Cricetulus griseus: one gene and its partner. The protein of the gene in region 1 purifies or fractionates together with the protein of each later gene. This does not show direct contact. Links are inferred from orthologs where the notes say so. Each region holds a gene or a part of one and is shown on either strand. Other genes may lie near its edges.

Region 1 (4,809 bases):
AGTCTTACATAATATACTCTTTTAGGCTTTAGTAAAAATATTTGGAATAAATGAGTATTCACATATTAAATACAAATGTTTTAAAAACCAGGCATTAGTAAATTACTTATTCTCCGTGTTGCCACTCTTGCCTTAATTTGTATCAGTGTTTTGTCTTGTCTTCTCTACAGTACTAGGGGTTACAGTCAGGGCTACACACATGCTAGGTGAGTGTACCACCACTGAACCATCGCCTCAACCCAGTGAACAACTCTTAAATGGTTTTGGAACCTTGGTATGTTTTTCATGTTGAATTCCTGAACTGTGAAGTATGATTATCTGGAGCCAATACAAACTAAATGGAGACTTACTGATTTTTCTGCTGAAAGTTCAACCATTAACTATCTAATTACCATTCTCCAGACGATTTGCAGGTCTATCTTCACAGTCTAGATCGTCCTCCAGATTTACCATCACAGTTACCAGATGTGAACCTCCTAATACACTGCCCTTAAGAAGACCTAGACAAAGCAGGGCGTTGGTGGTGCATGCCTTTAATCCCAGCACTTAGGAGGCAGAGGCAGGCAGATCTCTGAGTTGGAGACCAGCCTGATCTACAAGAGCTAGTTCCAGGACAGCCTCCAAAGCCACAGAGAAACCCTGTCTCGGGGAAAAAAAAAAAAAAAGAAGAAGACCTAGACAATTTGTCAGTTCTTATATCTATCTGCTGTTCCTCTTACCTCAAGCTCTCCTCTTTGAGGACTAAAGATTCCCTGCACTGAAAACTTTCATTCCCGGTTAATGCTTTCCCTGAAAACAGGTTTATTTGCCCTTAGCAGCAGCAGAGAAAGGCCTATCCTTGGGGGTCCTTAGTGCAGTGCTCAGCAGATGCATTATGAGCAAGGCTGACTGACATTAGGCTCTTGCTTTGTGGGGTTGAATTGATTCAGCCCTCCAGCTCCCCTCAGTTACTTACTCCTCACTGCACGTACGTCCTTTTTGCAGGGAAGAAAAGAAAAAGAAGGCTCTGAAATAGATAAAGATATACCTGACTGTGCAGTAGCCGAGATTTGGGCAGAGATTTATGGCACCGATAGTTTCCTTTACTCCAGGCACTATACAGTCCAGTGATTTTTCACGTGCAAATGCTCTTGAATCTTTAGACTTCTAAGCTGATAGGCAGTACGCCATGAGATTTACTGTGTGACCTACATATAATACAGTAAAACACCCACCCCTTCACCCCGCCCAATCTCGGTGTAAGGACAACAGTAGGTAATCCTGGTTGGTCAGGCTCACTGACAGCTGCGAGCGGACTGTCAGCGCTTGTAGCTGGTCTTATGCGTCCGACATTGCTCACAGAGGGCTACTAGCTCTTGACCTCACAGTCCTCTTGGCCTGGGGTGCTCCCGATTCAGCGGTGTCCTTGATTTTAGGTCCCCGACGGAGGGCAGCCTAGCGGTGACGCGGGTTTCCCAGCCGGCGAGTTTAGGACGCGGCACCCGGAAGTGGCGGCTGGAGCGGGAGCGCTGAGTTGTCGGGCGGCGGGACAGCGGCCCGGAATAGGGGGCGGGGGCGTTGGTCATGTTTCCCTTCGGGCCCCACAGCCCGGGCGGGGACGGGGCGGCTGGAGCTGAGGAGCGGCCGCCTCTCGGAGGGCCGGCGGCAGCTTCCAGACCGCCCTCTCCAGCTCCGCGGCCGGCGCCTCCAAGGCAGGGAGCTGACGCGGCCCCTCCCCCGCCGGCAGCCCGGAGCCCTCGCCTCCCGGGCGGCCCCGCACTGTCCCCGGCCGAGTGCGCCGGAGAGCTCGCGGCCCCCGGAGCTCTGGAGTTGTCCGCTGCTGCAGCGCAGGCAGAGCTGTCACCGTCCTCCTCGCCGCGCAGGCGCTCGAGGCCAGACTGCAGGGCAGGCAACCGGAGCCGGCAGGGCCTCAGCGCGGGCCTCAGCGGCCCTGGCGCCAGACTGTTCGGCTGGCTGAGAGAACGAAGCCTCGGCCGCGGGCTGTTCGTGGACCCGGCGCGGGACAATTTCCGCACGATGACTAACCTGTATGGTTCCATCCACCCCGCAGACTCCGTGTACCTCAGCACCCGCACCCACGGTGCTGTCTTCAACCTCGAGTATTCGCCCGACGGGTAAGCAAGCGCCTGCGCCTCAGCTGGCTCCCTCGGTTCAGGGCGGCTTGTGGCCGTGCCCCTGGTACTTTCAGAAGCACTTTGTCTGTCGCCTATGAGCTCCGTGCTGGCCTTCTGAGGTAGGCAGGCCCAGTGCTTCCCTTCGGGGTCCTGGAGGCTCGGTGAAAGAGAAATGCCTTAAGCCATCGCTGCACGTCTGCCAGAGCCGGTCCACAAGTAGGACTTTCTGGTACGCAGTAGGTGCTCACTAAATGTCCTTTAAATAATGCCCACCGTTTCGCTGTTTTCCTCGGTTGGCCCTTCTCTGAGCTGAGCTTGTGTTAAAATGTTCAAAGAGGAAGCTCGCAGCATCTTTGGACTTTGTGCCAGATCCTGCCTTGAGAAGACATTCGGAAGCTCTAGAAAGATACTAAGACACTGCAGAAATACGTTTCTCAGTATTTGGGCCATTTGTGGGATAGGCTAATGCTTGGGTTAAGGAATGCAGCTTTTGTTTTGCTTTGTTTTGTTTTTGACTGACATTTGTTTACTCTTGGTTTACTTCAAGCTATAGGAAAATTTCAAAACTAACCGGTGTCTAATACTTTATCTCGTGAGTGCACAAGTTCAACAAGCAGAGGAAAAACACTGCTCATGGTTTTACCTCAAATGACATAATAGCATCCTTATCACATCGGGCCTCAGGGTTGCTAGTCTTTGCTTCGTTAATTCATTCATTCATTCATTCATTCATTCATTCATTCATTCATTCCCCCATTAACCAGATGCTCCTGGAACACTTAATAGGTTGCAAATGCATGGATAGCAGTGGTTCGTAAAACTATTTAATGACATTCCTTTTACCGAGCCTGGCTCTATTAGTTCAATTGGATATGAGATTCCAAGTAATGCACAGTGTACACCAGCAAACTGAGATAAAGGCGTAAAGCCCGCAGAGCTCGGTTACCCTGAAAAAGTGACACCTAGATCAAGATTAGAAAAAACATTGCAGGAGATAAACGAATCAAGACTGCTGGGTAAAGAATAGATGTATTTCGTAAGAATGTGAACTCATGCTGAAGGGCAATATTAGCATATAATGTTAAAGGAAATGGAAATAGGGCTGGAGAGATGGTTCAGGGGTTAAGAGCACTGGCTACTCTTCCAGAGGACCTGGGTTCAATTCCCAGCAGCCACATGGTGGCTCACAACCATCTATAATGAGATTTGGTGTAAACATGCCAGAACACTGTATACATAATAAATCTTAAAAAAAAAAGAGCCCCTAATGCAATTCCCACCCTTGGACCATTAAAAAAAAAAAGAAATGGAAATAATGAAACAAAAAAAAATTTATAGCGAGAAAGACCTAGAATATGCTGAGAAAGAAGCATTGGAACACAGTTACTGAGCAAGTAAAACCTGTTGTGGCTCATTGACCTCAGTGCTTCTTTCTAATTATACCTGGTACTAGAATCTCTAGTTATGGTAGTTGGCTGGATTATTATCAGTGGGTGCATACCTGAATTCAAAAGCAAACTTTATTTAGCTGAAGCTTATTCATGGAAACTTCTTCTTTTATATACTATTCTTAAAGCGTCTTCCTCTCCCCCAAATACTGTCTGTGCTTCTCTTTTCTGTAGCTCAACCCCTCTTTTACCAAACCCTATACTTTCAAGATTTAAGAAGTACTGTGTTACTAGGTGTGGTGGTGCACACCTGTAATCCCAGCACTCAGGAGGCAGAGGCAGGTGGATCTCTGAGTCTAAGGACAGTCAGGGCTACACAGAGAAACCCTGTTGGGGGGGGGGGGATGTAGTAGTTGTGCCAATTCTCTGGAGGTAGAATTTTTAAATAGGAAATGGTGATTCTAGAATTATGAAAAATTTAATTCAAATTGCCAGGACTGTTAGAATGAGGTCTATATTACGTATAGTTCTTATTTGAATAAGACTTCATTCTCGCAGGGAAATTTATTTATTTTTCTGTTCATCTATCTATCTATCTATCTATCTATCTATCTATCTAGATCTCTAGTCTCTCATAGTAGCACTGGTTGCCTTGATACTCACTTTGTAAACCAGGCAGGTCTTGAAGTCACAGAGATCCACTTCCCTCTGCCTTCCAAGTGCTAGCACTAAAGGAATCACATATTCATACAGGTTTCTGTGCATTCCATGACTTACATGTGAAGGCACTTGTATGGAGGTCAGAGGACAACCTGTAGGAGTCATTCTTTTCTTCCACCATGTGGGTCCCAGGGATGGAACTCGGATCTCAGCCTTGGTGGATCTCTACCCATGCAGTCATCTCTCCAGCCCCAGAGCTTTTTTTTTTTTTTTTTTTAAGATTTTATTTATTTATTATGTCTTCTGCCTGCATGCCAGCAGAGGGCACCAGATCTCATTCAAGGTGGTTGTGAGCCACCATGTGGTTGCTGGGAATTGAACTCAGGACCTCTGGAAGAACAGTCAGTGCTCTTAACCGCTGAGCCATCCCTCCAGCACCCCCCCCCCCCAAGCATTTTCAAAAAGTAATTATTCTGGTACTCAGCCCATGAAGTGGACAGCAAGTCAGGGTACTTGCTATGCAAGCCTGGTGATCTGAGTTCTGATCCCTGGCAGGTAAAAGGAGAGAAAAAGTTGTCTTCTGCCCTACACATGCACCCATAAATCACACACACACAATAATAACTTTAATAAGTATTACAATTTGA
Region 2 (4,165 bases), on another chromosome or scaffold:
TGTAGCCCTGGCTACCCTGCAACTCTCTACATAGAGCAGGCTGGCCTCAAACTCAGAGGTCCACCCGCTTCTGCCTCCTAAGTGTTAGGATCAAAGGTGTGTTCACCACCATGTCTAGCTTTCATTTTCCTTTTTTTTTTTTTTCCCTATTGAGAGGTCTCACCTGCTCACCACATGGAGAATACTCAGGTTAAAGGCATGTACCTAGCACTCACTCTTAAAATTAAAAAGCACCTAAAAGGCCAGAATGATGGCTCAGTGGGTAAAGATGCCTGCGGTCAAGCTGAGTTCAATCCCCAAAACCATATGACTCAAAGACCCCTGAAAGCCCTTTGACTTCCACTTGAGCAGGAACACATGTGTACAATATAAAACAAATCTTTTTAAATGTAAAAAGGAAAAGCATCTAGAACTGTTTCACTACCGATGAGCTCTGCCGGCTTGTTTGGTCTTTTGTTGATGAACGTCTCGAAGGATTCTTTCATCAGGTTGATAAAACGCTCATTCCTCTGGAAGCACACCTCTACCACGTGGTCTACTTTGTCCTTAAAGTCCAGCAGGTCTTGGACCATGTCTTTATCTTTCTCGGGATTGATGACAATGGTTGTCCCAAAGGTCTACAGAAAGAAGAAATAACCAAGTCAGCAACAGGCTTAAGAAGCCAAAGTGAATCTTTTGCTGTCTCTCAACACAATGGTAGGCGCCTTGTTTTCCCACTTGATACTGGCAGCACCCTCTCTCCATGTGGCCATGAGCAGGTGGTGCCTGGCATTCAGAGAGGTTCTGCATCAGCCCCAGGCAACACTCCTGGAAGATGCTGAGTGGTGCTGTATTGACAAGTGAGGGACACAAGGCCTGGAAAACAAGAGGTAGGAACTGAGGTCTTAAATTGGAGTTAGAAACACAGCAGTAGGCAGACCAAACTGCTGTGCCAGTGTGTGTCGGTTCACAGTGAGCAGAGGTTACTGCTGCCTGGGGAGTCAGTGCATGCTATGACTTTTTTATCTGAGGGGGCGAGGGAAAAAGACTCTCACTCTTGACAGTTTCCTTCAGACCTTTTCTTTATTCTTCTTTCATATTGTCTGTTTATTTTCCTGGTGATTTCCTTCTCTCATTCTTGATGTCTTCCTTCTAATTCATTTTAATTCTGTCTTTATTCTTTCCCTTATAGCTTATATACCCCAGCAAAAATTTTCAGGCAATATAAAAGTTACAATGTGGTGGTTATACCCTATTTTTCAAGTGAATGATTACAAAGAATACAAGTAAGAAACAGCATGTTTTCCATACATGATTAAACTGCATTATAGGTAAAAAACAAATTATCCTAAGAACTCACGTACATTCACACTCAAGCAACTTTTTTTTTTTTTTTTTTTTTGGTTTTTTTTGAGATAGGGTTTCTCTGTATAACAGCCCTAGCTGTCCTAGAACTAGTTCTTGTAGATCCAGCTGGCCTTGAACTCATAGAGATTCTCCTGCCTCTGCCTCTCGAGTGCTGGGATTAAAGGCATGCACCACCACTACCTGGCTTTGAAAGGTAATCTTATAAAGAATCTTAAAGGACTCACAAACCTAAACTTTTATATATGAAAAAGAAAATCAGACAGCTCTACTTTAAATCTTGAGGGTGCATGCCCACTCATCAATAGTTTGTTGTTTTTGTTTTAATCAGGAGATTAAGGGCAGAAATGGGTATAAGGAGTTAATCATCACCTTTGGTCATCAACCAATCCTAGCAAGAAAGGTATGTCAGCCAATGATAATTGGGCTGCTTTGTTCTTGTTCTCTGACCTTAATGAATTGTTCCTCATTTAGCTATGTGTCTTTCTAAAACTTCAGATTGTCTTCTTGGGTTTTTCACCTCAAAGTTATTTGACTAGAACAGCTTAGTCTAACTTTTAAGTCATTTTCAAAGCTTTGTTTCAGCTATGATGTACTCCAAAACCTGTGAACACATCTCCTAACATAAAGGTTAATAGAATTTAAGCTAGCTGGTCTACTGGAAATTAATTGCTTTTCTTAATCATTAACCTAAGTCACAGAGTTTACTGCTCCTCAGTAGAAATCCATTTGCTCTAGCTGTGTGACACTTGTTTGTTTTATATCACCCAAACTCTATTTAAACTAATATTATTATCAATTAGACAGTACATCTTAGGAAAACTTCATTTTCACAGTAATCCACAGGTAAAAATGCCCAGTAGAGTAACACGTTTCCATGAGATAAACACACAATGTTACAGGCAGTGGGGATCTCCTCACACCCATTCACACCATCCATATACCAGAGAAAGATGGCAGCAGCAACCATGTGAAGGCACAGAAGAAGCAAAAGACACTCTGGGGTCTGAGATCTTGGGGCCTTGCCTATCCGAGATCCACAATCAGGGATTTTCCTCCTGGTGGGCTGACACTCTGAAGTCACTGCCACCTGCTGCTCCTCTGGCATGACCACCAGCATTCATGCCTGATGAGCAGACACACCAGAGGCTGCTGCTGTAGCAGAAACAAATGTTTACATAGATGGATGCACAGCTGTTGTCACTACACTGCAGGTGTCCACCCAAACAGTGGCCATCACTGTTGGTGTCATCATAGAAGAGCAGATTTTGCTCAAGAGAAAGCATTCATTAGGTGATCTGGAAGATGGGAAAGCAGATGATCCCTAGCAGTAGCTCATTTCCCTCTGCAGGGTACAGCATGCAAGCACCAGTGTATACCTTGATGTATTCACTCCAGTGCTGCAGTAGAGCATGCTGTCCTCCTTTCACCCGGCTGAACAGCTGGTACATCTGTGTGAGGTCAGGCACCCTATTCTCATCCAGCAGGTGGTCCAGCCCTAGTAGTGTGTAGAAGAAGAACAAGTCATAGCAGGAAGCAGCAGCATTCGTGAGTGGAAACAGTATCATCCACACCACACAGTCAGGACATGGCTTGCAGACCTGGAGCACATACCTGCTATGGAGGCATGCCTGTCCAGTAGCCTACCTGAGGTGGCTCATATAGGTGAATCTCATTTTTCTGAGTGCATTGTGAATGTATTATTTATTTTCTCATTTCACTAAAGCCATTATTTAACAAAAGTAACGAGTCAAAAAATATTTAGAGCTAAGTGGTGGTGGTGCATGTCTTTAATCCCAGCACTCAGGAGACAGAAGCAGACAGAGCTCTGTGAGTTCAAGGCCAGCCTGGTCTACAGAGTGAGTTTTAGGACAGCCAGGACTGTTACACAGAGAAACCCTGTCTTGGGAAAAAAACAAAAAACAAAAAACAAAACAACAACAACAACAACAAAAACTTTAGGCGAGTATTTGCCCTGAGAAATTTACAATGCAAATTATCATTTGAAGTTTTGTCTATTAGTCAGAAAAAAACATTTGTTAAAAGATGGGTTTAGGTGCTGGAGAGATGGAGATGGCTCAGCAGGTAAAAGTACTTGCTGTTCTTGCAGAGGACTCAGGCTTGGCTTCCAGTCCACATGGTGGCTCACAACCATCTCTAAGTCCACTTCTAGGATATCTGATGCTCTCTTCTGACCTCTACTCTCTTCTGAACACTGTAGGCATTGCATACATATGGTGCATATACATATATACAAGCTAAACACTCATACACATAAAAAATATATAAACTGTAATTGATTCTAAATTTAAGTTTCTAGTTGGTTGATTCAAATAATAAAGTGTAAGACAAATAAGTATTTATCAGATGTCTTATGTATTCAATATGGAATTTTAGAATTTTTATTCAGCTATTTAAGTTTTATAATTTTATTATTTCATATTCATGAGCATTTTGCCTGTAAGTACATGCACCATGTTTGTGCAGTGCCTGCAGAGGCCCAAAGAGGGCACCAGTGAGGCCACCTGTAGACGTGTAGACAGGTGTCTCCACTTGGCAGTGTCTGCACACACAGGGGTCAAGGCGTGTGGAGGCATCCCCTGTGCTTGGTATATCTCAAGATTTCGTCTGAGCTAAATACACAAATAAACCTTAGTGTCTGTAAAAATATCTCCAAAACATCTTCAATTATATCTTAAAAAAGTTTAGGGGCCTTTTACTTTTTGGAATGTTTCTTTTTCTTTTTTCTTTTTTTGATTTTTCGAGACAGGGTTTCTCTGTGGCTTTGGAGCCTGTTCTGGAACTAGCTCTTGTAGACCAG

Evidence for each region.
Region 2: the proteins of Dcaf10 (region 1) and Cul4a purify together in Homo sapiens (affinity purification with mass spectrometry; 4 studies listed by BioGRID and IntAct, with this or other methods). This does not show direct contact. The link is inferred for Cricetulus griseus from reciprocal best matches to the Homo sapiens genes DCAF10 and CUL4A.

Annotation. Positions count from the first base shown.
Region 1 is NC_048595.1:98,108,190-98,112,998, reverse strand, and holds the start of Dcaf10 (DDB1- and CUL4-associated factor 10), read left to right. Parts: upstream 1-1,482; 5' UTR 1,483-1,563; coding exon 1,564-2,114; intron 2,115-4,809. UniProt on the Homo sapiens protein: May function as a substrate receptor for CUL4-DDB1 E3 ubiquitin-protein ligase complex.
Region 2 is NW_023276807.1:67,647,760-67,651,924, forward strand, and holds part of Cul4a (cullin-4A), read right to left. Parts: intron 2,843-4,165; coding exon 2,724-2,842; intron 618-2,723; coding exon 425-617; intron 1-424. UniProt on the Homo sapiens protein: Core component of multiple cullin-RING-based E3 ubiquitin-protein ligase complexes which mediate the ubiquitination of target proteins. As a scaffold protein may contribute to catalysis through positioning of the substrate and the ubiquitin-conjugating enzyme.